7 linked regions of the Xenopus tropicalis genome follow. The protein of the gene in region 6 purifies or fractionates together with the protein of the main gene of each other region. This does not show direct contact. Links are inferred from orthologs where the notes say so. Each region holds a gene or a part of one and is shown on either strand. Other genes may lie near its edges.

Evidence for each region.
Region 1: the proteins of yap1 (region 6) and patj purify together in Homo sapiens (affinity purification with mass spectrometry; 7 studies listed by BioGRID and IntAct, with this or other methods). This does not show direct contact. The link is inferred for Xenopus tropicalis from reciprocal best matches to the Homo sapiens genes YAP1 and PATJ.
Region 2: the proteins of yap1 (region 6) and alb purify together in Homo sapiens (affinity purification with mass spectrometry, with the first as the bait; 3 studies listed by BioGRID). This does not show direct contact. The link is inferred for Xenopus tropicalis from reciprocal best matches to the Homo sapiens genes YAP1 and ALB.
Region 3: the proteins of yap1 (region 6) and runx2 purify together in Homo sapiens (affinity purification with western blotting; 4 studies listed by BioGRID and IntAct, with this or other methods). This does not show direct contact. The link is inferred for Xenopus tropicalis from reciprocal best matches to the Homo sapiens genes YAP1 and RUNX2.
Region 4: the proteins of yap1 (region 6) and amotl2 purify together in Homo sapiens (affinity purification with mass spectrometry; 10 studies listed by BioGRID and IntAct, with this or other methods). This does not show direct contact. The link is inferred for Xenopus tropicalis from reciprocal best matches to the Homo sapiens genes YAP1 and AMOTL2.
Region 5: the proteins of yap1 (region 6) and wbp2 purify together in Homo sapiens (affinity purification with mass spectrometry; 7 studies listed by BioGRID and IntAct, with this or other methods). This does not show direct contact. The link is inferred for Xenopus tropicalis from reciprocal best matches to the Homo sapiens genes YAP1 and WBP2.
Region 7: the proteins of yap1 (region 6) and ccdc85c purify together in Homo sapiens (affinity purification with mass spectrometry; 5 studies listed by BioGRID and IntAct, with this or other methods). This does not show direct contact. The link is inferred for Xenopus tropicalis from reciprocal best matches to the Homo sapiens genes YAP1 and CCDC85C.

Annotation. Positions count from the first base shown.
Region 1 is NC_030680.2:85,652,428-85,655,927, forward strand, and holds part of patj (inaD-like protein), read right to left. Parts: intron 2,657-3,500; coding exon 2,539-2,656; intron 1,708-2,538; coding exon 1,670-1,707; intron 1,581-1,669; coding exon 1,458-1,580; intron 735-1,457; coding exon 630-734; intron 1-629.
Region 2 is NC_030677.2:80,150,261-80,153,760, forward strand, and holds part of alb (albumin precursor), read right to left. Parts: intron 3,371-3,500; coding exon 3,273-3,370; intron 1,506-3,272; coding exon 1,367-1,505; intron 421-1,366; coding exon 197-420; intron 1-196. UniProt on the Homo sapiens protein: Binds water, Ca(2+), Na(+), K(+), fatty acids, hormones, bilirubin and drugs. Its main function is the regulation of the colloidal osmotic pressure of blood. Major zinc transporter in plasma, typically binds about 80% of all plasma zinc.
Region 3 is NC_030681.2:147,509,874-147,513,373, forward strand, and holds part of runx2 (runt-related transcription factor 2), read right to left. Parts: intron 833-3,500; coding exon 357-832; 3' UTR 1-356. UniProt on the Homo sapiens protein: Transcription factor involved in osteoblastic differentiation and skeletal morphogenesis. Essential for the maturation of osteoblasts and both intramembranous and endochondral ossification.
Region 4 is NC_030681.2:130,254,009-130,258,185, forward strand, and holds the start of amotl2 (angiomotin-like protein 2), read right to left. Parts: upstream 2,801-4,177; 5' UTR 2,613-2,800; intron 1,306-2,612; exon of another isoform or gene 1,223-1,305; intron 1,021-1,222; 5' UTR 941-1,020; coding exon 249-940; intron 1-248. UniProt on the Homo sapiens protein: Regulates the translocation of phosphorylated SRC to peripheral cell-matrix adhesion sites. Required for proper architecture of actin filaments.
Region 5 is NC_030686.2:44,865,580-44,869,408, forward strand, and holds the end of wbp2 (WW domain-binding protein 2), read right to left. Parts: intron 2,420-3,829; coding exon 2,294-2,419; intron 1,635-2,293; coding exon 1,558-1,634; intron 1,479-1,557; coding exon 1,425-1,478; 3' UTR 501-1,424; downstream 1-500. UniProt on the Homo sapiens protein: Acts as a transcriptional coactivator of estrogen and progesterone receptors (ESR1 and PGR) upon hormone activation. In presence of estrogen, binds to ESR1-responsive promoters. Synergizes with YAP1 to enhance PGR activity.
Region 6 is NC_030678.2:162,264,145-162,266,732, reverse strand, and holds the end of yap1 (transcriptional coactivator YAP1), read left to right. Parts: coding exon 1-72; intron 73-500; coding exon 501-613; intron 614-1,849; coding exon 1,850-2,088; downstream 2,089-2,588. UniProt on the Homo sapiens protein: Transcriptional regulator with dual roles as a coactivator and corepressor. Critical downstream regulatory target in the Hippo signaling pathway, crucial for organ size control and tumor suppression by restricting proliferation and promoting apoptosis.
Region 7 is NC_030684.2:90,720,597-90,724,562, forward strand, and holds the start of ccdc85c (coiled-coil domain-containing protein 85C), read right to left. Parts: upstream 2,801-3,966; 5' UTR 2,464-2,800; coding exon 1,755-2,463; intron 1-1,754. UniProt on the Homo sapiens protein: May play a role in cell-cell adhesion and epithelium development through its interaction with proteins of the beta-catenin family. May play an important role in cortical development, especially in the maintenance of radial glia.

The sequences.
Region 1 (3,500 bases), on a different chromosome or scaffold from region 6:
ATTTCCAGTATCCTGCAATTTCAGATTAAGGCAGAAAACTTGTAAATGTACTTACCATATGTGAAACAGAGTGATTTTGTACATTTTGTTAAGTAACATGGAGTGCCCTCCTAGAATGCACTTACATGTGCAGTGAGCTCTGCTGCCAGTTGGAGTTAGGCTGATGCCACACCAGGCGTAGGGCTGATTTTTTCGGCAAGCGGAAAAAATCAGCCCTACGCCTGGTGTGGCATCAGCCTTAGTCTCTACAGAATGACAGTTATCAATGTCTCACAGCTGAAACATCTGAGGCTTAAGACTAATGCCACACGAGGCGTAGGGCGGATATTTTCGGCAAGCGGAAAAGCGCTTGCTGAAAATTCCGCCCTACGCCTCCTACATGTGCCTGCACCCGAATGAATGAGATACGCTCGGGTGCAGGCACATGTAGCCGATATGCGCATAAAAACACGAGACTTTGCATTATATATATATGGGCTACATGTGCCTGCACCCGAGCGTATCTCATTCATTCGGGTGCAGGCACATGTAGGAGGCATAGGGCGGAATTTTCAGCAAGCTCTTTTCCGCTTTCCGAAAATATCCGCCCTACGCCTCGTCTGGCATTAGCCTTACATTTATTACCATACCTGCAAAACAATGGTTCCAAATGCATGCTTCAGGATATTAACCACTTCTGCATGTGACAGCCCATCCACTGGTTGCTGGTTAATGCTGACAAGCCGATCCCCAACCTATACCCCACAAGCCCATGATAAAACATACAGGTCAGGATTAATTTCAAAAGATGGTTATTAAATATAATGCAGTACTGAATATTTTCTTTACTTTGCAATTTTGAGAATAGAAAATATTGCAAGATTAAGTAAGTACAAATTGAGAATTAACAGAATTTTGTTAAATGACAAATAAAAGGGCAGATTGGCACAATTCACTACTATAAACTTTGCCTCTACAACAAGCTGCTTAAATGTACAAGCAAAAAACGTCCTTACAGTAATATCTTCTATGGAAACAGCATAATATATAGATTGTAAGCTCTAAGGGGCAGGGACCTCCATTCTCTTGTGTCTTTGACTCTTAACTTATTGCAACTATATCTTTTATTTATTGTTAAACTTTATCTAATTTATTATTATCTTAATAACCCCGTTTGTATTAATGTATTCTACTTTACAGCGCTGCGTACAGTAGCGCTTTATAAATAAAGATATACATACATAATTCTAACATAGGCACTTGGTTTTTATAGGTCATTGCCATGTTTACCAATAAAACAAAGTATGATGAGAATGGGGCATAATTTGGTTTTCCTTCATTATGGTTAAAGGTCAATGAGAGAAGTAAAACATGTAGAACCATCTCACCATAATGTGCTTTTATTAAGACAAAATATAATTTGCTTATGCGTCATTACTGTTCGTAAAAGTCACATGGTGATAAAAACAGATACTTACTTTTAATTTGTGTGTCCGTGCTGCTACACCACTAGCTTGGATCATAGCAATGAAAACTGGGATATCTCCCAATGGGCTGCCTTTCCCTCCTGCGATACTGATCCCAAGAGCATCATAAGGGCCCTAACAAAGTGTGAAAATGGAAAGGTATTAAGTCATTGTATATTTCCCTCCAACTCTTATTATAGCAAGTGTAGTTTTTCTTTACTTACTCTATTAATTTCTACAGTCCGTGGCTCCAAGTCTGTGCCTGTATTTAAAGGGGATAGATATCTTAAATACTTATTCATTGAAAAAGTAAAAGTGAAGTGCTAAATTTAAAGGTAAAGCAAAAATAAAAAAACAAAACAAAACAAAGCACTACAATAGAAAGACAAATACAATAGGTGACCCCTGAAAGGGGCTGTCTCTAGATATTTGCTCTGAAGACATATTTCTCCTTCCCACAAGTTATCTGGATTACAGCCATATATAATACTATATTATTCTCTTCTGCAACACTGCCATGCTGTATATCACACAAGTAAATAGAGAACAACACATTAAAAAGGAAAACAAATGAAGGTGAGACATCACCCTGGTTCAGTAACTGCATTTCCATGTAGTCTTGACTGCAGTTCAGTTCAGAATACTGGTACTCAGAGTAAGGAATGTATTTGCTTATACTGGCTCCACCATGTATTTGTTTATTTAATTGTCCATTAGCAAAATGGTTGTAAAAATAAAATGAAATGGTAACAAAATATTAGGAAAGACAAACAAGCAATGGTCGTATGGTCCTACTAATCAATCACAGTACTGCGTACACAAATTTATTTCAGACACTCTGAATGCTAAACCTTTAGAATAGTAGTTAGGGCACAGCGAGCACAGAGAGACAGTAAGACTGAATGACCATTTACTGACTCAAAAATTATACCCAAGACTTTCTGATGATTTTAAAGTATATCTGTAGTATTCTTTGTCTGCTTTATCTTTTCAGAACCATTCCTTCTCTCTTTAATGCCACATATGTCACAGGCACAATAACTCCAAGCCACTGTAAAAAGGTAATAGAATTGTAGTACTGCACAGTATTTACCAGAATGCCTTTGTGATGAGTCTGCAGAGGATTTCTTGGAGCTAGCATAGTCTTGCATGCTGGAAATAACTGGAGTTAATGATGGAGGAAGAACACCATGGGAACTCATTTGGTTGATCTAGAGTGCAATTCAGTAATATGTTCTTCAGTTTAAATGGTACAAACAGACATTACATCCATGCATTACTTAAGAGGCAATAAAAATATTTTTTATATTTCTTTAGGTGAAATTTCCCCAAGTGGCTGCAAGTTACATTTATACCACAAATGGATACACATTTTGAATTAACCCGTAAACTAGCATATAATATAATTTATAACACAACAAATAATACTAGTTGTTAAAATAAAATCTGGCTAGGTTAATGAGAATAAATACACATTATTTCCTTCTACTAACACAATTATTGTGTTTATTATAGGCTTGCATATTATCTGACCTACATCTTGCTTTTTCTCACTTACTCTTTGTATGTCTCTAGAAATCTAGAACAGTTACTTGCAAAAAGTTTTAAACAATGAACAACCAGATTATTTAGGCTTGTTAGCAGTGTATCCTCTGGCTTCTCTGCATTACAAGTCTCTATTAATATTATGTTTTTAGCTATTTTAGGAATCTTTGAAAGTGCCTATTATTTTAATATCTGCCTTTTGCCTTTCTTTGGTCTGAAATACTTAGTGTTCTAGTTCAGAAACAGTGAAAGAGCTATAGACTGGGAAACTCAAGAATGAAAAGTACTGCTACAAATAAATACCCATTTTTCAAACAAGGCTAGTTGCTCTACAATTAGTTGTTACACTATTTTGGGCCAATATACAGCCCAAAAAGCCAATACAGTCAACGGGTCTTCTGTGTGGATTCTTATATTGAGTGAAAAAAAAATGACTTTTAGATCTAATAAAGAATTACCTGTTACTTACAATACAGATACAGTTGTACGGTTTCACAGGTTATACAATAA
Region 2 (3,500 bases), on a different chromosome or scaffold from region 6:
TTTGAATGATTTGCTTTTCTACATCTTTCCAGCTTTCAAATGGGGGTCACAGACCCCAGTAGCTAAAAAAACAATTGCATTGTTTCTAAAAGTTCATTTAAAGGGGAACAACCCCTTTTAGGCAATTCAATACGATTTATGTGTGCTAAACTGTTCTCAAAGAATTACATCAAACAATAATGGCAAAAATATTTACGTCTGTTTGATATGCTGTTGTTCTTTCTCATTAGCAGTGCATATCTTGTCATCGAAGTGAAATGTGTCATCAGTGACTGGGGGTGGTACATAGTTCGTATCCGGACCAAGAGCAGTAAAGCATGAACGCATCCCAGAATACGAGTCACTGCAGCAGTGAGCAACTCCATCATTTGCAAAATTCTTCTTTTGCTTTTCACACAGCTTTCCAAAGAGTATGCTAAGCTTTAAAGGGAAGTGAAAAACAGGACATCAATATCAACAATCTTTAAAACAGTGTTTGTTAAATAATGACAAATTATATATCAGCAATATTTTACGTGTCAAAGGCTCACTATTATATATATTTTATACAATAGTGAGTCTAGTATATTATTTTTTTTGCGACCATTATTTTTTCTCTTTACATCAGACTTTCTATCTTGAAAAGTACCTGTCTCTATTATGCACAATCCAGTGGACTTAAGAGGATGCTTAATTATGCTTTTTTTTACTAACTGCTTTAATTATTTAGAGTTTTAGAGATGTAAATGGTTTATAGCTGTGATTCCTTAACCTAAGCTGTTTGTTATTCTCGCAAGTAAATGAACCATACTAGATGTCTGTAGCCCATTGCAAACAAGAGATTCACTTGTCCATAGTAAACATTTCTAAGGTTAAAATGGTTGATAATTCCTTAAGAACTATGAAAATTATACTTCACATCTGTATCTACATTACTACTGCATGTTATCAAGAAGTCATATGGGATTACAGTTAAACAAGTGCAGTAATGTGAAGTCAGTCATATGTGTTCAGAAATGGCACCATTGTAATGGTGTGTTCTATGTACTCAAATTGGCTTGGAAGTGTGTGTAGAGTAGCTGTATTAAATATATTTTAGGTAACTATACTATAATGGTAACTAGCTGTGCACTATATTTGGGTTTATTGAGTAATGTTGCTGGGCTCTATGTGCTTAATATCAGTCCCCAGATATGATATTCTAAACGTTTTTCTTATGGTGCTGTGTTTGTTTGTAGGTGTGTGCATGTTTGTAGATGGGTGGACAAAGAGTCAGTATTTCATACATTATAAAGCTGTAATTAGGTTATATAGAAAAAATGCACTAGAAGTTGGCAGAAAGGTTTGCATAAACCCAAGCAAAACATAACAAACAATATATACATACGTCTCCTTCTGCACATGGCAACCTCTGGTTTTCTGGTAGGGCACAGCAGTGTTCACCAATATCTGCCATTTGGTGTGCTAATCCAATCAAACCTTTACTTGATACTGTGGGCATTTTCTTGGCGTACCTTATAAGAGCGCTAAAACAAAAGAAGAAAAAACTTAGGGGCAGATTTACTAAAACTTGAATTTATCTCATTTTATTTTCAGGAAGTTGAAAACTTTAGTACCCAAGGCCTCCGTTGTTTATTCTTCTTCTGATCCTGGCCTCTTCACACTTCTATATAAATTCAAATTCTATTCTGTAACCTACTCCCATCTAGTGTATTAAGTATATAAGTTCCACACAGGACGCTGTCACTTTGCTTGTTTGACAAAAATTGGAAAACTGGGCAGCAAAATGGAAAATGACGTTCAATGTTGAAAAGTGCAAAGTTATGCGCTTTGGTAGAAATAATATAAATGCTAGTTATATACTAAATGGCAGTTTGTTGGGTTATCCTTAATTGAGAATGATCTGGGGATATTGTAGATAGCAAGTTGTCTAATTCCAGGCAGTGTCATTCTGTGGCTACTAAAGCAAATAAAGTGCTGTCTTGTATAAAAAAGGGCATTGACTCAAGAGATGAAAACATAATTTTTCCTCTTTATAGGTCTCTGGTAAGGCATCACCTTGAGTATGCAGTGCAGTTTTGGGCTCCAGTCCTTAAGGTAATACTGACAGTAAAAAATTACTCTTCAAAATATTAATGTACATTAAAAGTCATACTGATCGTTTTTTACTGACAGTACTGCTTTTGTAAGTAATTGTTACTTGAACCTAACTGTTGTGCCAATCTGACTGTACCTTCCCAGCTTGTAAGTTGTTGCTTTTAATGCTAATGGACTATGGCAGCACAAATATGCCAGCCTCCTCACAGAGGAACATGGGGGATCAGATAGGTATTGTAAAAGCATTGGGCAAATACTTTTATGGCAAAATTATAAATAGCATTCAAAGACAATGTTATGATAAACGCAAAAAAAAGGTTTAATTTCTGGTGTCAGTGTCTCTTTAAGAAGGATATTAATGAGCTGGAGAGAGTGCAGAGACGTGCAACTAAACTGGTAAAGGGGATGGAAGATTTAAGCTATGAGGTGAGACTGTCGAGGTTGGGGTTGTTTTCTCTGGAAAAGAGGCGCTTGCGAGGGGACATGATTACTCTGTACAAGTACATTAGAGGGGATTATAGGCAGATGGGGATATTCTTTTTTCCCATATAAATGATCAGCGCACCAGAGGCCACCCCTTTAGATTAGAGGAACGGAACTTTTGAAGCAGAGTAGATGGTTTTTCAAGGTGAGGGCAGTGAGGTTGTGGAATGCCCTTCCTAGTGATGTGGTAATGGCAGATTCTGTTAATGCCTTTAAGAGGGGTCTGGATGAGTTCCTAAACATGCATAGTATCCAAAGCTATTGTGACACTATAATCTACAGTTAGTATTAATGTTGGAATATAGGGTTTATGTGTGTGAATGTATACATAGGTCAGTATATGTTTGTGTTTGAGCTAAGTTCACTTGATGGTCTTTTTTCAACCCAACTTACCTATGTAACTAGACCAACAGTTTCTGGACCTGAAAAATGTACTTGTGCTAAATCTTTATGTTACTTAAAGGAGAAGGAAAGGCATTTTACTTATATACTTACTTATTATATTTGTGCTGGGTTCAGGAAGGGTTGAACTTGATGGACTCTGGTCTTTTTCAACCCTATGTAACTATGTATTCTATAGATAGGATTCTTATATACAAGGCTCTAGCCAGGACAATAAGTTTCATTGAATATAAATGACCATGCCACAACACCCATATCTCTCCAAGTGCAAATAAACAAAGAAATAGGATATCTATATCTGTGAAACTTACTCATTTTCAAAAAGGTATTCACCATGTTCTTGCAGAGCATCACAGTTTTGTTTCAAATATGCAAATCTCTCCTTGGCTTCATTTAAGAACAAGTTAGCCTAATAAAAAAGGATAAGAATTCTAATTAGTAATGAGGCCTGTTTCACTCTAATGCTTATCTAAAAACATTTGGGGTTTAGTTGTTTAGTAACTACACTGCTTTTCAGGACCCCATGCAATAACAGGGCC
Region 3 (3,500 bases), on a different chromosome or scaffold from region 6:
CTTCCCGTTTATTGGCAAATTGCGGCTCGGGAATGGAATCTTCTCTCACCCCCGTGGGAAAAAAAAAGTCTTTTTAAAGCTTCCACAACCATTTTTGGTGATGAAAACTCTTTGGAATGGTTCAGTTGGACATAAATAATGATCAAGAAATAAGAGTTTTAAGGCCATGTGTGCTTGTAACCATCTCATTTGAAACATAGTGGCAAAAATATTTTGCCAAATCAGTTTACTTGCATTATTTTTTTTATTTATAAAAGCCTATAAAAGTTAAAAATAGTGACATCCAAAAAGTTCATTTAAAAAAAAGGCACTTCTGTGTTCTGTGGAAAAATGTCTTCCTATTGGCTGTTCTGTCATCAGTAAGGCCTCCATACGGATTCATCCATTCGACCAGTGGAGTTTAACACAGTAGGAGAGCTGCTGTGGCTTCCGTCTGCATCCACCCCATCATTCTGATTGGCCAGATTGGGGTTAAGCAATGTGCCCCCGTTGGACGTGGTGCAGGGTGGTAGCATCCGAGATGGAGATCTGTCACCCCCGGGAACCATGGGGAACTGGTATGATCCAGATGATGTACCGTAGTAAAGGTAGGGAGTGCTGCTGGTTTGGAATGGTCCACTTTGATTCTGGGAGGAGCCTGGATAAGGGGGTGGTAGGTAGGTATGATAGTGAGTGGTTGCAGACATACCTAAAGACATCCCTGTGGTGACAGGAGGACTATACGTGAATGTGGCAGGATAGTGCATTCGTGGGTTGGAAAACCGACTCTCTGTTAATGATGAAATACTTGTAAACTGCCGCGGATCGGAGAATGGACCCAGTTCCGAAGCACCTAAACAAAGAAAAACAAATGTCAATATATTTGTTTTAAATGTGGTCCTTTGGTAAATCTGTACAATCAATTATTTATCAAAATTTCTACTCTGTGTTTGGGATTGTTACATGACCTGTGCAAGTCCAACAAAAGCTAAATGCTGATTGGTTACTGAACCGAGACAGACTATTTGGCTGTAAAAGATTTACTAAAATCTCAAGTTATATTGATTTTCTTTCACTCTCTCTTTCTCTGTATACAGGTATAGGACCCGTTATTCCGGATAAGGGGTCTCCATACCTTAAGTTCACTAAAAAATCAATAAAACATTAATTAAATCCATTAGGATTGTTTTTTTGCATCCAATAAGGATTATTTATATCTTAGTTGGGATCAAGTACAGGTACTGTTTTATTATTACAGAGAAAAGGGAATCATTTAACCATTAAATAAACCCAATAGGGCTGTTCTGCCCCAATAAGGGGTAATTATATCTTAGTTGGGATCAAGTACAGGTACTGTTTTATTATTACAGAGAAAAGGGAGTCATTTAACCATTAAATAAACCCAATAGGGCTGTTCTGCCCCCAATAAGGGGTAATTATATCTTAGTTGGGATCAATTACAGGTACTGTTTTATTATTACAGAGAAAAGGGAATCATTTAACCATTAAATAAACCCAATAGGGCTGTTCTGCCCCCAATAAGGGGTAATTATATCTTAGTTGGGATCAAGTACAGGTACTGTTTTATTATTACAGAGAAAAGGGAATCATTTAACCATTAAATAAACCCAATAGGGCTGTTCTGCCCCCAATAAGGGGTAATTATATCTTAGTTGGGATCAAGTACAGGTACTGTTTTATTATTACAGAGAAAAGGGAATAATTTAACCATGAAATAAACCCAATAGGGCTGTTCTGCCCCCAATAAGGGGTAATTATATCTTAGTTGGGATCAAGTACAGGTACTGTTTTATTATTACAGAGAAAAAGGAAATCAGTTTTAAAATTCTGAATTATTTGATTAAAATGGAGTCTGTGGGAGACAGGTTTTCTGTAATTCGAAACTTTCTGGATAACGGGTTTCTGGATAAGGGATCCTATACCTGTATAGCATAACTAAATTTAGAAACATTTTTGAAATTTGAATAACAGAATTTCAAGTTTCTCTAATGCAAAACTGAAGATTTTATCTGAGAATTGCTTTTCATGGGCATTAAGGTTACAAATATCTTTAAAACCATTGGAAATTTTTCATGAATGATGGTTGGAAATATGCATAGAATTACATTTTCTTGAATTAGGCAAATAATGACTAGGAAACAGAGAGTAAATATGTATACTGTATATATACACACACACACACATATATTCAGCCAGACCACGCAACTTTAAAAAAAAAAAGCAGACATTTTTCAAAAGGCGACAGTCACACCTCTGCTAATATAAACCTTTTCTTGTCCTTATGATTTTTGCCTCGGTGCCTTTCGGTCAGAAACTCGGAACAATTAAATTTCCATATGTTTCCATTTATTTTGCTGCAAAAGCGTCATTAAGGCCAGGGTCTGGCTACAATCCAGCCGTGCTCAATGAGCTTTTTCTTGTCTCCATTAGCCCTCTACCTGCTCCCGGTCTCTAGGAACCGTAGCCCCCACAAATGTTTATGGCCGCCAGGTAATGTCACTTGTCATTCATTTTACAGCTTCGAGCCCAAAAGATGTGGTTTGCTGGAAATCATAAAAAGAGTAAATTTCTTCCAGAATTCCTACACTTTAGCTTTTCACTCTCAATTACCCCATGCCTGGTGCTGCTAAGCCTTCATCCCCGTGTCACATTAATCACACCCTAATCTCCCCATTAATTTGATAAGTTGAACGCAGCCATTTTCCAGTTTTCTGCAGTCGGTTCCCATTATCTTCTACTGAGTCAAAAATATATTGCGAGCTCTGCAATGTTTATATCGAGTAGGGAAAGCCGACCTCCAGTGATTGCTTACATATAGCAGTCGGAGGGAGATTCCGCCACAGTGTTGTGACTTATAGGAACATATCGGCTAATAAACATAGACAGAGGGTCATTTTTGTGTTCAGGGAGGCTAATTAAAGACATTTTCTACACAGTATCCCAGGGCTAATTCCAAGTGTAATACCCCAGTACACATGGCAAGATAAATACAGTGCCAATTCTATATATAATGCCCCCAGAACACATATCTGGATAAATACAGTGCCAGTGCTATATACAGTATAATGCCCCCAGAAAACATTGCAGGATAAATACTATGCCAGTTCTATATATAATGCACCAGAACAAAGATCAGGATAAAAACAGTGCCAGTTCTATATACATAATGCCCCCAGAACACATTGCAGGATAAATACAGTGCCAGTTCTATATATAATGCACCAGAACAAATATCAGGATAAATACAGTGCTAGTTCTATATACATAATGCCCCCAGAACACACTGCAGGATAAATACAGTGCCTGTTCTATATATAATGCACCAGAACAAATATTAAGATTAATACAGTGCCAGTTCTATATATAATGCCCCCAGAACACATGACAGGATAAATACTATGCCAGTTCTACATATATAATGCCCCCAGAACACATGACAGGATAAATACAGTGCCAGTTCTATATATAATGCCCCCAGAACAAATATCAGGATAAATACA
Region 4 (4,177 bases), on a different chromosome or scaffold from region 6:
ATACTTCTCTACGTACATAAATTACGTATTTGCGCACTCTTTACAATACTGTGGCTGGCCAGTGGACAATAACTACTGGATGGCTGGAATTCCATAATATTGATCTACAGCCAACATGCCATTATAAATAAACATGCTCCAGTTGACAGATGTTTTAAAGGGTAAACTTTAAATGCAATCCTACAGTAGAGATATTCCATCTACATCGTGAAGATGTTTGCATAGTATGGTTAGAAGTCTGTGCTCACCTGACTTCAGACTGGTGATATACAGGCAGTTCCCCAGAATAATGCCTTTGTTCTGTTGTGTATCCTCGTATGTCCTGTACTGGTTGATTAAAATGAGGGTACTCCGGAGGAGCACCCCTATACTGTCCCCTATCTTCCTGTTGCTCACGAGCCACCGATAGCTGGTAATGCCTTGAAAGCTGTGGGAAGCTATGAGAGGAGCTCATAAGGTTTTGAGGCTTGGCACCATTTCGCTCCAAAGACATCTGCAGCAGACGTTCACTTAAGGACCTGACATGGCCATGTTTCAAATCCTTAAGGGATTGGTCTTGCCGATGACCACCATGTTCCACTGGCTGGGTGTTCTGGGCTGCATAGTACTGTGAGAGTGCCGCTTTGGCTTCTTCATAAGTTGGCAATTCCTCGCCTTTGTGTTGAAATTCATGAGCCTTATACATGGGGTTTTCCAAGTAGAAATAGTCACAATGATACTCCTGGCCTTGGGGTTCTTGCCTTGCTGAAGGAGCCATTTGAATCTCTTCCTGTTCAAGACTTTCTAGGGATGATCTGGGACTTCCACTGCCACCTCCAGCCCGCAGAGCCTGCTCCTGGATAGCCAACAATGTACGGTTATCACTAAGATTCCCATATCTTAGTTGCTCCTGAATGAGACGGTGTAGAACCGTTCCAGAGGAATCCTCGGCTGTTCTCATCCTTAACAAGTAAATAAATCCTCAGTCAAGTGGAAAATATAAGTAATGGATTATAATCCTATTCGACTGTTGGGGAGAGCCTGTGGAACAAGAAAAAAATATATGTTTTAAGACAAAATTCTTCCAAATAACACAAGAAGGATGTGACAGTGATGGTTTTATGTCTCATCATAACATCAAGTCAATGTTCACAATGCTTAAAAGTCATGTTCACAAAGGAACAAAGAACCCTGGAGGATTCTAACTGGATTTTCCAATACAACATACACACGTTCTACTTACTTTGCTAAGAAATAGAGCTTCATTGACTTGTAAGCTGCTGATTTTTAGGCAATTAACTGCTTGTTTTTTTGGAGGTGATGGATATCAGAGGAATGGAATTTCCTCCCTTTACTAATCCCCCCCCTCCTGTCCACACATATACACACACCTCCCTTTCTATGTAGATAAAGCCCACTGTATCTATGGTATGCCCCCCTGCTGCCTCTGCCTTATAGCCCTCCCCTTGAATTCCACATTTCCTAGTTGAAGTTGAACAACCAAAAACAGTGCCAGTATTTATTTAGTTTCAGGCCTCCATAGCAAAGAAAATAAATACTGGGATTCCATCCCTAACCAACAAAAATACGGCATGTAAGAATCTTTTAATGCTGTTAAACACTCCTTGTAGCAGATTTAGTATAAATAGCCATCACAACAAATTCCCCCTTTCACTAAAACTTCTAAAATATATTTATATATATATATATATATATATATATATATATATTTATATATATATATAGGTATGTACATAGGGCCAAACCTGAACGTTCCCTTGTCTCTTACGGGAAAATATTTTCCAGCACGTAGGAGGCGAGAGCACCTTTAGCATAGCTAAGAAGTGACATCACTGGCTTCTTTGTGTTGCAATTGACATTCTTTGTGAATTGCAGCCTTCCCTCTACCCCACACAGGCCCGTTCTAAAAACAAGAATCATAATAAGAATAGAATATAGTTGGTGGATTGCTGCTGCCATGGCTAAGGTGGCAAAACACCTGCTAATCCCCCCTTTGTCTCCTTTAAAATGACATAAATGTTGTCCCTTAGATGACACTTTGTACACAAGGAATATACAATACTCAGGCATCACAGGCCCCCAGAATTTCTCAGGCACCAACAGCACCCTACATAAATACCATTGTGACAAATGACCAGTCATTGGGGGCTTTTATTCTATAGATAAGTCTATAGAGACAAAGACATACGGTATATACACATGCATACATATATAGAAACACAACAGTTTGCACATAGACTAAAGCTGTGGGTGCTGGGAGTTGCTCAGGTACCAACACAAACATTATACATTATCTACATTGAGCATTATTGCATATACAAGAAACTGAATATAAATACAGACAGACATACACAAGAAGTATTTCTATTCATTCTAGAGCAGCAGCTTTTAGATTGCAAGTTCTGCGGGACACCAGCTTAATGAAAGACTGTGTAGCAATGGTACCCATGTATAATAAACAACTGTCCTTATTCTAGCTGCTTGCGAGACATGTGACTCACAGACCGCAGTAATGCGCCGGGGGTACGATATGTACATACAGTGCGCAAATAAAAACAGAAAATAAAGGTAAAAGCAAGCGCAGGGCAGAGTGTAGGAAAGAGCGTACTCACCCGAGCATAGCCAGTGTGTGCGCAGCAGACTGGGCTCTCGGTGCGACTGTGTCGGTGCGACTGTGCCCGTACTTTCCCTGTGCGCAGTGAGCTGTGTGCTGCCTGAGAGCGCTGAGCAGACTGATCCCGCAGCACTCACGCCGCTCTAGTGCTTCAATAGCTTTGCTATGCGCGGAATGTGAGAGTTTCAGGCTCCCCCTGGGATAAAGCTATAACCACACATAACCTTTCTCCCTCCCTCCTCCACTCAGCATTCTGCCCGCCTCCTCTCATACTTTCCCTCCGGGCTGCACTCCAGTGAGCGGCCGCTGGGGGCGGAAGATCTCCCCGCGTTGGAGCCGCTAGCAGAGAGCACGCATTACTGTTGTTATTACATGTTTCTGTATAATGGCGGCTAATTATGAGGCGCCTAATTGTGCTGTCCGCACTGCCTTACAATAACAGGCACGGAAGCTCATAATAACTGTACATCAAACGAGAATACCGCCTGGGTACATCTTTCAGACTTAGAGATCAGATTTTTTTAAATAGAGCTTGTGGTAATTCCTGGTCCCCCCCTTGCTTCCATGGACACAACTGACTTTGCTCCAAGCCAATTTTACCATGATTCTGTTTAATGACACCAGAAGTGGCACCATTTAATATTGCCCCACAATTACAGTGCAGTTGTGGCGCTGCTGCCATAAGGGCAGTTGGGAAATTTACCTCAGGCAGCTGCACACTACAAGTTACTATTGTGCCCCCTCCCCTGATATATCTTCATTCAAACATTCTAATTTTTAAATAGGAATTGCAGCTCTGCTAGAGAAATGCATCCCCCCTGACCTGCTCAGACCCAAAAAACTAAATATTTTTGCCCCCCCCCCCCCCAGTATATCTTCAAGAGCAAATATTCTAATTTTTAAATAGGAATTTCAGATTTGCTAGAGAAATGCATCCCCCCCTGACCTGCTCCGATGCAAAAAACTAAAAGTGTGGGGGTCATATCAACTAGGCCGCTGAGTGGTACTGGGTTCTGCAATGCCCCTGGGTGATACTCTGGGGTACAATGCTGAATTGTGGTGAAAATCAAAATGAATCAGAAATTGATACTATTCCCTCGTTAAGCATAGCCAGCCACTACACATTTTATTTTGGCAGATATTCAGGCACATATACTCTCTGTTAGAAATAGATAATGCCCGCGGACCCCGAGCAGAGTTGGGTAAGAATGCTATACGCAGGAGGTGCTATTGTATTCACTGGCTATACAGCTTGCTATTCCAATTAAGCCATTGTCTCATATCAGTGGCTACAGATCTATGGTGCTCGTTGGCATGGAACCTAGCTTACAACTGAGAAAATAGCCTGTTGTAACATAAAAAAAGCCACTTTCTGCTTGGCCAGGAAGGGCTTCTTTACTGTCCGTCAAGGGGCTGATCTGTTTCCCTTTGATGAAAATAAATGACAGTAGGTCATAGTTTATGGCAGACCTTTCCACAATTATCTCTACGGCTATAACTGGTATGCCCAGACTGAACACATTGCAGCTAAGTGCTAATTTCTTCTCATTTTGCATTTTCTCC
Region 5 (3,829 bases), on a different chromosome or scaffold from region 6:
CGCAGTTTCGCGAATTTTTCGCCGTTTCGCGGATCTTTTCAAAGATTCGCGAATTTTTCGGCGAAGCGAAACGGAACAGATTCGCTCATCACTAGTCACCTCCTGTACTGACTGTATTGTAACAATGTCCTCTAAATAGCGGAATGTGTATTTTTGAGTAGCATTGTTTTAATCTGGAATTAAAGCTGCAGAAAGTGTATATTATGTCTATAACTAGTCAGTTTATGAAGGAAGATAAATGGCAAACCAGCATTTGTTCTAGCACAAAGTTAATGCATAGAATGCCCTCTAGTGGTGGGTGTAAAAGCTCTGTGTGTACAATGAGAAACGAAATAAACGAATATATGTCACACAGAGATTAATATCAGCATCACAAGACGGGCATCGCATTTATAGATAAACTTTGTGGCAGCTAATGAAAATAGCCGAAATATTATGTTTATAGCCCAAAGTCCTGTGAATAAACTCTCAAACTCGAGGAAAAACGACAGAGCAAAGGATTTGTTAGAATAACTTTTATTCTTTATGCAAAACACATTCCCAAAAGAACATTAATTTCTTTAAAATAAATTATTTTTATATTTAACTCTTGTATTTATATATATATGCTTTAAACAGCAGATAGCTTGTGGATGAGGTATTTAGCCAAATTGGGTTTGGTATAACTGGTAAGCAGCAGAAAGTGACCATAGAGGGGGTAAAATCTGCAGTAACGTAAGTCCGGACAGCACCATGACATGCTTAGCCTCTTCTGGAAAGGCATGCAGAACACTGCAAAGCACAGTATTTAAAGTTAAGTCCACTTTGGATGAACCCTGGTTCCGTTTGCACGAGTTCCTACAGCTGGGCTGCTCTCTTTCTAATGGTCTAGGGGGCGGGGCTTGGAATAGAAATCTATATCAAATGTAAAGCAGGCTGGCACATTTGGTAGAAGCGGCTCTTGCTTCATGAATTTCTATCCATGGCTGCAATGCAATAGTCCCAATCAGCTCATTTAGTTTGGTCCAAGCCCTCTCTTCTAGTTGACCATGGGAAAGAGAGCAGCCAGGTACTTGAAACTCAGATAACTGGATTCCTTAGCCTGGGTAAAATGATACCCAGGTTAAGATAGTCTGGATTCGATAAGATAGTGTGGTTCTTGGTACAGCTAAAGGAAACATGACCAAGTGGACTAACCCTTTGAACAAGCTTTCGGCAGAGATCTGTTAAAGAAACACCACTATATGTATCAAACAGCAAACTTTGGCATTAACAAGGCAGTTAAACAAGCAGAAAGCAGTTTGATTTTAACCATTAAGGCTGTGGAAAAAAACAGAACTGAAGTGGTTGAACCAACAGAGGCTATGCTCTGTTTTAGACATGAAGGAGATGCCCTGTGGCCAAGGAGTAAAAGTCAGAAAGCAGGACGACTGCAGCAGTAAGGTTTATTGGGTTTTCTTGTCTTCTGGTGGGAAGTAAGGGGGTGGTGGAGGGAGGTCCTGAAGAGAAAGAGATAATGTAATAGAGATCGAGTAGGGCAGTGAGTGAGAAAAGACAGGGTAAACATACGAAGCTTACCGGTGGCATGTAGGAGTGTGGGGGGTTCTGTTGGCTATAGTAGCCACTTGCAGCAGCTTCTGCAGCCTTGGCTTCCGCTACATGAAAGAACACAAGTCAGCTTATTGTGTGCCCAGAACATTCCATCTCTGTATATTTGTATTTATACATATGGGTAGGGGGTGCCATAGTGTTTCCCTTAGACTGTACAGTATGGGGGTACAGCTTATTGTGTGCCCAGAACATTCCATCTCTGTATATTTGTATTTATACATATGGGTAGGAGGTGCCATAGTGTTTCGCTTAGACAGTACAGTATGGGGATACAGCTTATTGTGTGCCCAGAACATTCCTTCTCTGTATATTTGTATTTATACATATGGGTAGGGGGTGCCATAGTGTTTCCCTTAGACAGTACAGTATGAGGGTACAGCTTATTGTGTGCCCAGAACATTCCTTCTCTGTATATTTGTATTTATACATATGGGTAGGGGGTGCCATATTGTTTCCCTTAGACAGTACAGTATGAGGGTACAGCTTATTGTGTGCCCAGAACATGCCTTCTCTGTATATTTGTATTTATACATATGGGTAGGGGGTGCCATAGTGTTTCCCTTAGACAGTACAGTATGGGGGTACAGCTTATTGTGTGCCCAGAACATTCCTTCTCTGTATATTTGTATTTATACATATGGGTAGGAGGTGCCATAGTGTTTCCCTTAGACAGTTTAGTATGAGGCTATTGTTTCTCTCTCACCTGCTGGAGTGGAAGGCAGATCAGGGGCACAGGCTGACGGAGGCTCCATAGGCCCAGGGTAAGGGGGAGGTGGAGGGTGCATGTAGGTGAGGGATCCGCCCTGTGCAGCTGCTCCTGAGTAAAACTCTGAAAGAGATGAAGGTTATGAACTAAAGGATAAAATAAAGTAAAAACAATCTGGATTTCTCTATTTGCTTTGGAAAAGTCTCAAATCTCTTATTTCTCACATAAAAAAAACCTGTCTTGTTCATTAAAGGGGAAGTATATGCTGTACTTAACTCTATAAAACAAATACCTCACGTGCAGGGCTGGAACTAGGGGCAGGCAGAAGAGGCACCTCCCTAAGGCGCATTGGTGGGGGGAGGGGGCACCAGGCAGGTACCTCTTCTGTCACCTACCACCGGTTCTGGACCCTTTCCCCGACTGTGGCCCTTGTTACCCCCTGCCGCCCTGTCTGCGTATGCGCCGGTGCAATAATTCCGTGTTTTTTGCCAAAGCTGAGGCATTCTCCATACTCTGCTATGGAACAGCACCTCTAGTGGTAATATATATTATACTGTTATTGTCGTTTATTGAGCTTATGTCATTTATGGAGCATGACAGGATTGTCTCTATCAGCACATAATACAGGTATGGGACCTGTTATCCAGAATGCTCAGGGATCTGGGTTTTTTCCGGATAATGGGTCTTTCCATAATGTGGATCTCTATACTTTAAACAAAAAAATCATTAAACATTAATTAAACCCAATAGGATTGTTTTGCCTCCAATAAGGATTCATTATATCTTAGTTGGGATCAAGTACAGGTACTGTTTTATTATTACAGAGAAAAGGGAATCATTTAACCATTAAATAAACCCAATAGGGCTGTTCTGCCCCCAATAAGGGGTAATTATATCTTAGTTGGGATCAAGTACAGGTACTGTTTTATTATTACAGAGAAAAGGGAATCATTTAACCATTAAATAAACCCAATAGGGCTGTTCTGCCCCCAATAAGGGGTAATTATATCTTAGTTGGGATCAAGTACAGGTACTGTTTTATTATTACAGAGAAAAGGGAATCATTTAACCATGAAATAAACCCAATAGGGCTGTTCTGCCCCAATAAGGGGTAATTATATCTTAGTTGGGATCAAGTACAGGTACTGTTTTATTATTACAGAGAAAAGGGAATCATTTAACCATTAAATAAACCCAATAGGGCTGTTCTGCCCCAATAAGGGGTAATTATATCTTAGTTGGGATCAAGTACAGGTACTGTTTTATTATTACAGAGAAAAGGGGAATCATTTAACCATTAAATAAACCCAATAGGGCTGTTCTGCCCCCAATAAGGGGTAATTATATCTTAGTTGGGATCAAGTACAGGTACTGTTTTATTATTACAGAGAAAAGGGAATCATTTAACCATTAAATAAACTCAATAGGGCTGTTCTGCCCCAATAAGGGGTAATTATATCTTAGTTGGGATCAAGTACAGGTACTGTTTTATTATTACAGAGAAAAAGTAAATGATTTTGAAAAATTTGAATT
Region 6 (2,588 bases):
AGTGTGTTCAACAGGGATTTCCCAGGAGATGAGAACAATGACAATGAACAGCTCCGATCCATTCCTCAACAGGTTTGGGCCAATTCTTATCTCCCTCTAGTGACCCCTTGTAATATTTAGCTGCTCCCGCCCGCCATGAACTTGCTTCCTAGTAACAGGCTGTATGAGACACACTGGGGCTCATTTACCAACACTGAGCAGTATATAGCAACCAATCGGCAATGAGATGCTTTTTTTTTTTTTTTAACTAGCTGAAGGAAGGACATTGAAAGCGGAAATGTAATTTGTTGCCATAAGTAACACCTCAGGTGTTGATAAATGAGCCCCAGCAATTAGTAGCACAACATCCACAGTAATCACACAGTTACACACTGGCAGGTATGCAGAGGATAATCTACATTAAAGACAACCCACAGTAAATATAAACTGTTTTGGAAGGTCTTCTTGCTTGGTAGTATATACTTTCTGAGCTTTATTTAACCATATTTCTTTCTCATCAGTGGAACATATCACTCCAGAGACGAAAGCACTGACAGCGGGTTGAGCATGAGCAGTTACAGTGTACCCAGGACTCCCGACGATTTCCTCAACAGTGTTGATGAAATGGACACAGGTCAGTTTGTCTCGCCATTAGGGGCACACAGTTACAATCTGTAGGGTTTGAACCTCATGTATAAGTTGTTTGATTAAAGGGCACTGTCCTTGAGAAGGTCTAGTTCAGTAGACCCGTATCACCATCTTTGCCAGGCTGTCGGATCCAAATAATAATGTCCAAGCTGCCATCGTAGAATGCACCACATGACCCTAGAAGTGATGCCACATGTGGGCAGATCACTGAAATTCTACAAAACAGCCCACATCTCTCCTAACTTCCCCTGCAGGGTACCCACACCCCACCTGCATAGTCAGTCTTCTTTGACTGAATCCCAACCTCTGTCAGGTACCCACGGAATACCCCCAATCTACTAAGATATGCCCCCCCCCACCCCTTTAAGCAAAACAGGGATTGTTTGCCCATATATTGCAATATATTCAAGCTGACCAACTACGTCACTGTCACCCCCGGTGTGGCCGGTCCTACACTCGCTCACCCCCGGTGTGGCCGGTCCTACACTCGCTCACCCCCGGTGTGGCCGGTCCTACACTCGCTCACCCCCGGTGTGGCCGGTCCTACACTCGCTCACCCCCGGTGTGGCCGGTCCTACACTCGCTCACCCCCGGTGTGGCCGGTCCTACACTCGCTCACCCCCGGTGTGGCCGGTCCTACACTCGCTCACCCCCGGTGTGGCCGGTCCTACACTCGCTCACCCCCGGTGTGGCCGGTCCTACACTCGCTCACCCCCGGTGTGGCCGGTCCTACACTCGCTCACCCCCGGTGTGGCCGGTCCTACACTCGCTCACCCCCGGTGTGGCCGGTCCTACACTCGCTCACCCCGGTGTGGCCGTCCTACACTCGCTCACCCCCGGTGTGGCCGGTCCTACACTCGCTCACCCCCGGTGTGGCCGGTCCTACACTCGCTCACCCCCGGTGTGGCCGGTCCTACACTCGCTCACCCCCGGTGTGGCCGGTCCTACACTCGCTCACCCCCGGCCTGGCCGGTCCTACACTCGCTCACCCCCGGTCTGGCCGGTCCTGAGGAGACATTGAAATAAGAGTATAACAATACAAAAAAATAAGTGCTAAGTATAAACTGGATATATTTAGTACAAAGAACTGCATAGCCCTAATTAAATGTTCATAAAACCATAACTGTATTGAGGAAAGGTACATTTTAGCAGCATAATGCTCCTTTTAAAGATTTTAAATAGAACTCGGAACTGACAGGTTACTGTTGCATTCTGTTTCTAGGTGAAGCTATTACCCAAAGTACAATACCTACCCAACAGAACCGGTTCCCAGACTATTTGGAAACCCTTCCTGGCACAAATGTGGACCTTGGCACGCTAGAGGGAGAAGCCATGAATGTGGAAGGGGAAGAACTTATGCCGAGCCTTCAAGAAGCTCTCAGTTCCGACATCCTCAACGATATGGAATCCGTTCTGGCAGCAACCAAACTAGATAAGGAAAGTTTCCTCACGTGGTTATAGAAGCATCTGCAAAACTGATTTCTAAATACCCGAAGGATTGTTCATGTCTGGAGGTGAAACTGAGTTTATGATATATACAGAAAAAATATCAGGCGGCGAGCAAAAACTACTTTTTTAAAAAAAAAACAAACAATTATTTTTTGATGTTTTTAGTATTCTCCACCCATTGCTGCTTCATTGCGTCTGATATATTTGAAAGAGCCTTATGAATCAACCACACCAGTCTTTTCCTGCTATAGCTGCCTTTTTCAGACATTGGTTTGGCCTACACGGATCAAGGATGCTTGGGAAGCGCTGCAGCCGACGGGGCTCATGTACATAGCACGCAAATCGTTTGGAATTCACCAGCCAATCCCAGAGACTAGAGACCACGTCCTAAACCCAATATAACATTTTGTATAAAGGTGTTTTTTTTTTGTTTTTTTTTAGAAATGTAGTGTTCTTATTATGGTAGCAGTACTGCCATACCAACGCTTCTCAGTCACTTTGTGTACTCTCAG
Region 7 (3,966 bases), on a different chromosome or scaffold from region 6:
GGCCCTCTCTGTTTCCAGCCTTTCATCCAAACCACTCCAAGGTTGCTAAGGAAACTTGAACCCTAGCAATCAAAAATGAAGACCAATTTCAAATTGTCTCAGAATATCTAGAAGTTAATTCAAAGGTGAACAACCCCTTTAACTGAAACGATACACAGAACAGTCAATGTATATATATTGACTTGGGGCTGGGGACATCCCGATGATGGAAACGCGCCAATGTCAATGGCACTACGACTGAACAATAAATATTTTGAACTTATATATTTTTTGAGCCATGAGTGTTTTGCTTTTTTGTTTTTATATATAAAATTATTTTTTCTACAATGTGGCTGAATTGCTTATAATTTACAGATAACAAAATCAGCTTCAGCCAGGAAACACACAGTATAATGTCACGATTGCTGTGAACATTATACAGCACAATACACAATTAGTCAAGCATGCTGAAAGCCTTCCTATAGAGCTTGTGGTTGCACAAGTCACAGGGTATCCACATGCACCAAATTTACATTTAACATAACGAGTGTAAATGAGTGGGTGATAGGTACACAATTTACACATATATACTAAAATTGCAGATGTTCAAAATAATAGGATTCCTCCCATTTACAGGAATAATTACCTATCACAGGAATTACCAACCGTTTGGGCTAGGGCCCTATTTGCCTCCTGACAGTTTGCTGGGACCACACCTCATTCCCTGGCACCATTACTAGCCTACCACTCTTTAGGGAGTTATAGAGATCCACAATTAAGTGGAAAAAGATCTGCCATGTATTAGAAAACATTGAAAATAATAATAAAAAGTGGCCAAAACCAAACAGTTAATAGTAAATAATGAATTAGCTGATGCACTTTTATATTTCCATGAACATGGGTTAATGGAAGACATTTAAGAAGGTCTGTATTGACAAAAATTTCAGTTTTACAATAAGACAAATTTATTAAAAAATTCACAGTGAGAAAGTTACAATAAATTAATGTAATAATGTATGACAGCTGGCCCCATGACAACTGCACATGAACAACGTGATCATATTATAGACACTGGGGACATTTTAATCCATTTTTGGTAGATATTTTCATTTATTTTGCTGGTTCCCTCTCTAAGAACTAATTGCTGCAGTGAAAGTGCTAGGCAGAAATGCTTATTTACACTCCATAATTTTACCACTATGTTTCTCAAACAGTTGTCATCTGTAAGTAACCAACACTTGTACAGCGCTAAAGAAAATAACATTGTTTTTAATAAACAGATAATATTTTTTGACCTTGGCATTTGTGTATAACACAAAACCCTTCCAGACCATCAGCATTACAAATATTATCAGATGTGGTATACACAGAGTCACTAAACCGCAAGCTGTCAAAAGCTTGGTCTTCAGACTACTGTTTCGGGTTGTACTGTTTCTTCATAATATTCTTTCTTATATATTTCACAGTACCAGAGAAAAGTGTGGTATTTCTGAAATATAAGTCTTGCTTCACTGGTTATGTTTCATACCAATGCCCATCTAATAATAAACCAAATGGGGATAACTTTACAGTTAAATTATCAGCCTTCGGGCAGAATTTAGTTAAAACATTTTTGGTGCCCAAACATAAAAAACCTCATTGTTCTATAAATCTTTGATTAAAACGCTGGGTTTTACAGAGAACTTTACACGCACCCAAATAAACTCATACATTACCAGGGTAACTGTAATGACAAAAGATGTTATGTGCAGAGTACTCAAGGAGATGGGTCTTACCATTCAAGCCATTGGGAATACTTCTGTGGTGAGGGGGGATGGACAGGTCATCAGTTGATTTCCTAACTGTCCCAGCTTTGTTCTCAGTTGGTTTTGTGTGGTGGTGATGATGGTGGTGATGGTCAGGGCTACCCGCGCTGCCAGTGCTGGAAGTGCTGCTGCCGTCCCCCACATCTCTAGGGCCAGAACTTCCATTCAAATTGGTCAAGCTGTTTTGGCTATCGATGGAGCTTCTGGACCCAGCACCATTCCTCTCCTCATCTAACATGAGGATGATCTCCTTCAACTCCAGGTTGTCCCTTATTAAGGACTCCTGCTTTGCCTCCAGCTCCTTCAGCTTCTGCTGGTAAACCCCAACCTCCTTCCACATCATAGTGGCTGAGTGCCTACCAAACCTCTGCCATTCCCTGGACAGTTTCTTGCCCTTCTGTCTGTCATCATCCAAGAAACAGCAGAGTTCCCGTAGCTCCTGGTTGTCATCCTGAAGTTTCTGGTTGACTTCCTTTAGCCCCCTGATCTCATGGAGATGGACCTGAAGCCTCCTGTTCACATCTTTCATCATATTGCCATGCTCCACCATCAGGCTCATCTTCTCATTCTCCACTTTCCTCAGCCTCTTGGCCAGCTCCTCTTTGCTCCAGCGCAGCAGCTCCTCGTCCGAGATGGTGCCGATATCTTCTGCCGCTGCTCCCTGGCAATGTTTGGCCATGGCAACGGAGATAACACGCCGAAATAAAGCAGAAATAAGAATATCCTCTAGCGTGTAACTAACCAGCCATGTCTCTAGCTAGAATGGCTTTTCAATCAAGCAGAGTCCTGGCTGCAAAGGCTCATTCATTGCTGGCATATCCCAGAGTCCTGGGAACTTGTTCAGTATCTGAAGCAACAACGCCGGGGAGTGTGAGTAGAGGGACTGCCAGCGGGCTCATGTGTAAGTGGGTGCCTGTAGCCACACGCAGAAAAGGTTTCCTCGGTTGCTCAGTGGCGATGTCCAGCCGGCAGCTAATCCTCCAACTCCTCAGTGTGAGCGCAATGGCACGGCTTTGCTGCCTCCTCACAACTAAGCCCTCCGACTCCCCCTTCCCTCTGTCTGTGCTGCTGGAGGGTTTTTTTTTACCTTTCTTTTAAACGAGCTTTATTGGCACATACAGAGCGCAGGCGTGTCCCGAAGACTGAGCGCTATTCACAGCGAGCTAACTAGGTCAACGTTCAGCTCTGGTTAAAAAATAACAAATCGGCTGTAAGGAAGGGAAGGAGCCTGGGAAACAGCGCTGCAGCACTGACTGCTGGAAATCACTGGCCAACCTTCTTATCGCTCACTTTAGTTATGAGCCACTGCCAGCCTTAACTTTCCTATAAGTAGATATATGAAGCAGCTTCATTAGGCTGTTAATATAGGGATTAGCAGGAAAAAAACGTTTCAGCGCTGCCTACTTATAGTAGTATATTGGGTGTTTTCCCTGTACACACAGTCACAGAGTACAGCACTGTTGTTGCATTGCTGCAATATACCTTGCAGCAGTGTTAAATTATGCATTGCTCTTGTTTGCTGCATTGTTTAATTGTGCATGTCTGCATTTTTCAGTTGTGCACTGCTGCACTTGTGCATTGATGTAGTGTTTAGCTGTGCACTGTTCCTGTGCATTGCTGCAGTGTGTAGGTGTGCATTTCTGCAGTTTAGTTGAGCATTAATACAATGCATAGTTGTGCATTGCTGCAGTGCTTTGTTCTGCATTGTCCCTGTGTATTACTGCAGTGTGTAATTGTACTTGGCTGCATTTGTTTAGTTGTGCGTTAGTACAGCGCTAAGTTGTATTGCTGCAGTGTTTTGTTCTGAATTGTCCCATGCATTGCTGCAGTTTGTAGTTGGGCTTTACTGCATTGTTTATTCATGCATTACTACACTGCATAGTTGTGCATAGTAGTACATTACTACAGTGCATAGTTGTGTATTGCTGAATAGTTTAGTTGTTTATTGCTGCATTGTTTAGTTGTGCATTGCTGCAGTGTTATGTTGTACATTGCTGCATTGCTTAGTTGTTTTTTACTACAGTGCTTAGTAAGTGCATTGCTGCAGTATTTAGTTGTGTGCTGTTTCTGTTCATCATTGCAGTGTTTAGTTGTGCATTGCCACAATGTTTAGTTGTGCATTGCTGCATTGCTTAGTTGTGCATTGCTCCTATGAATTGCTGTATTGATTCGTTTGCGCATT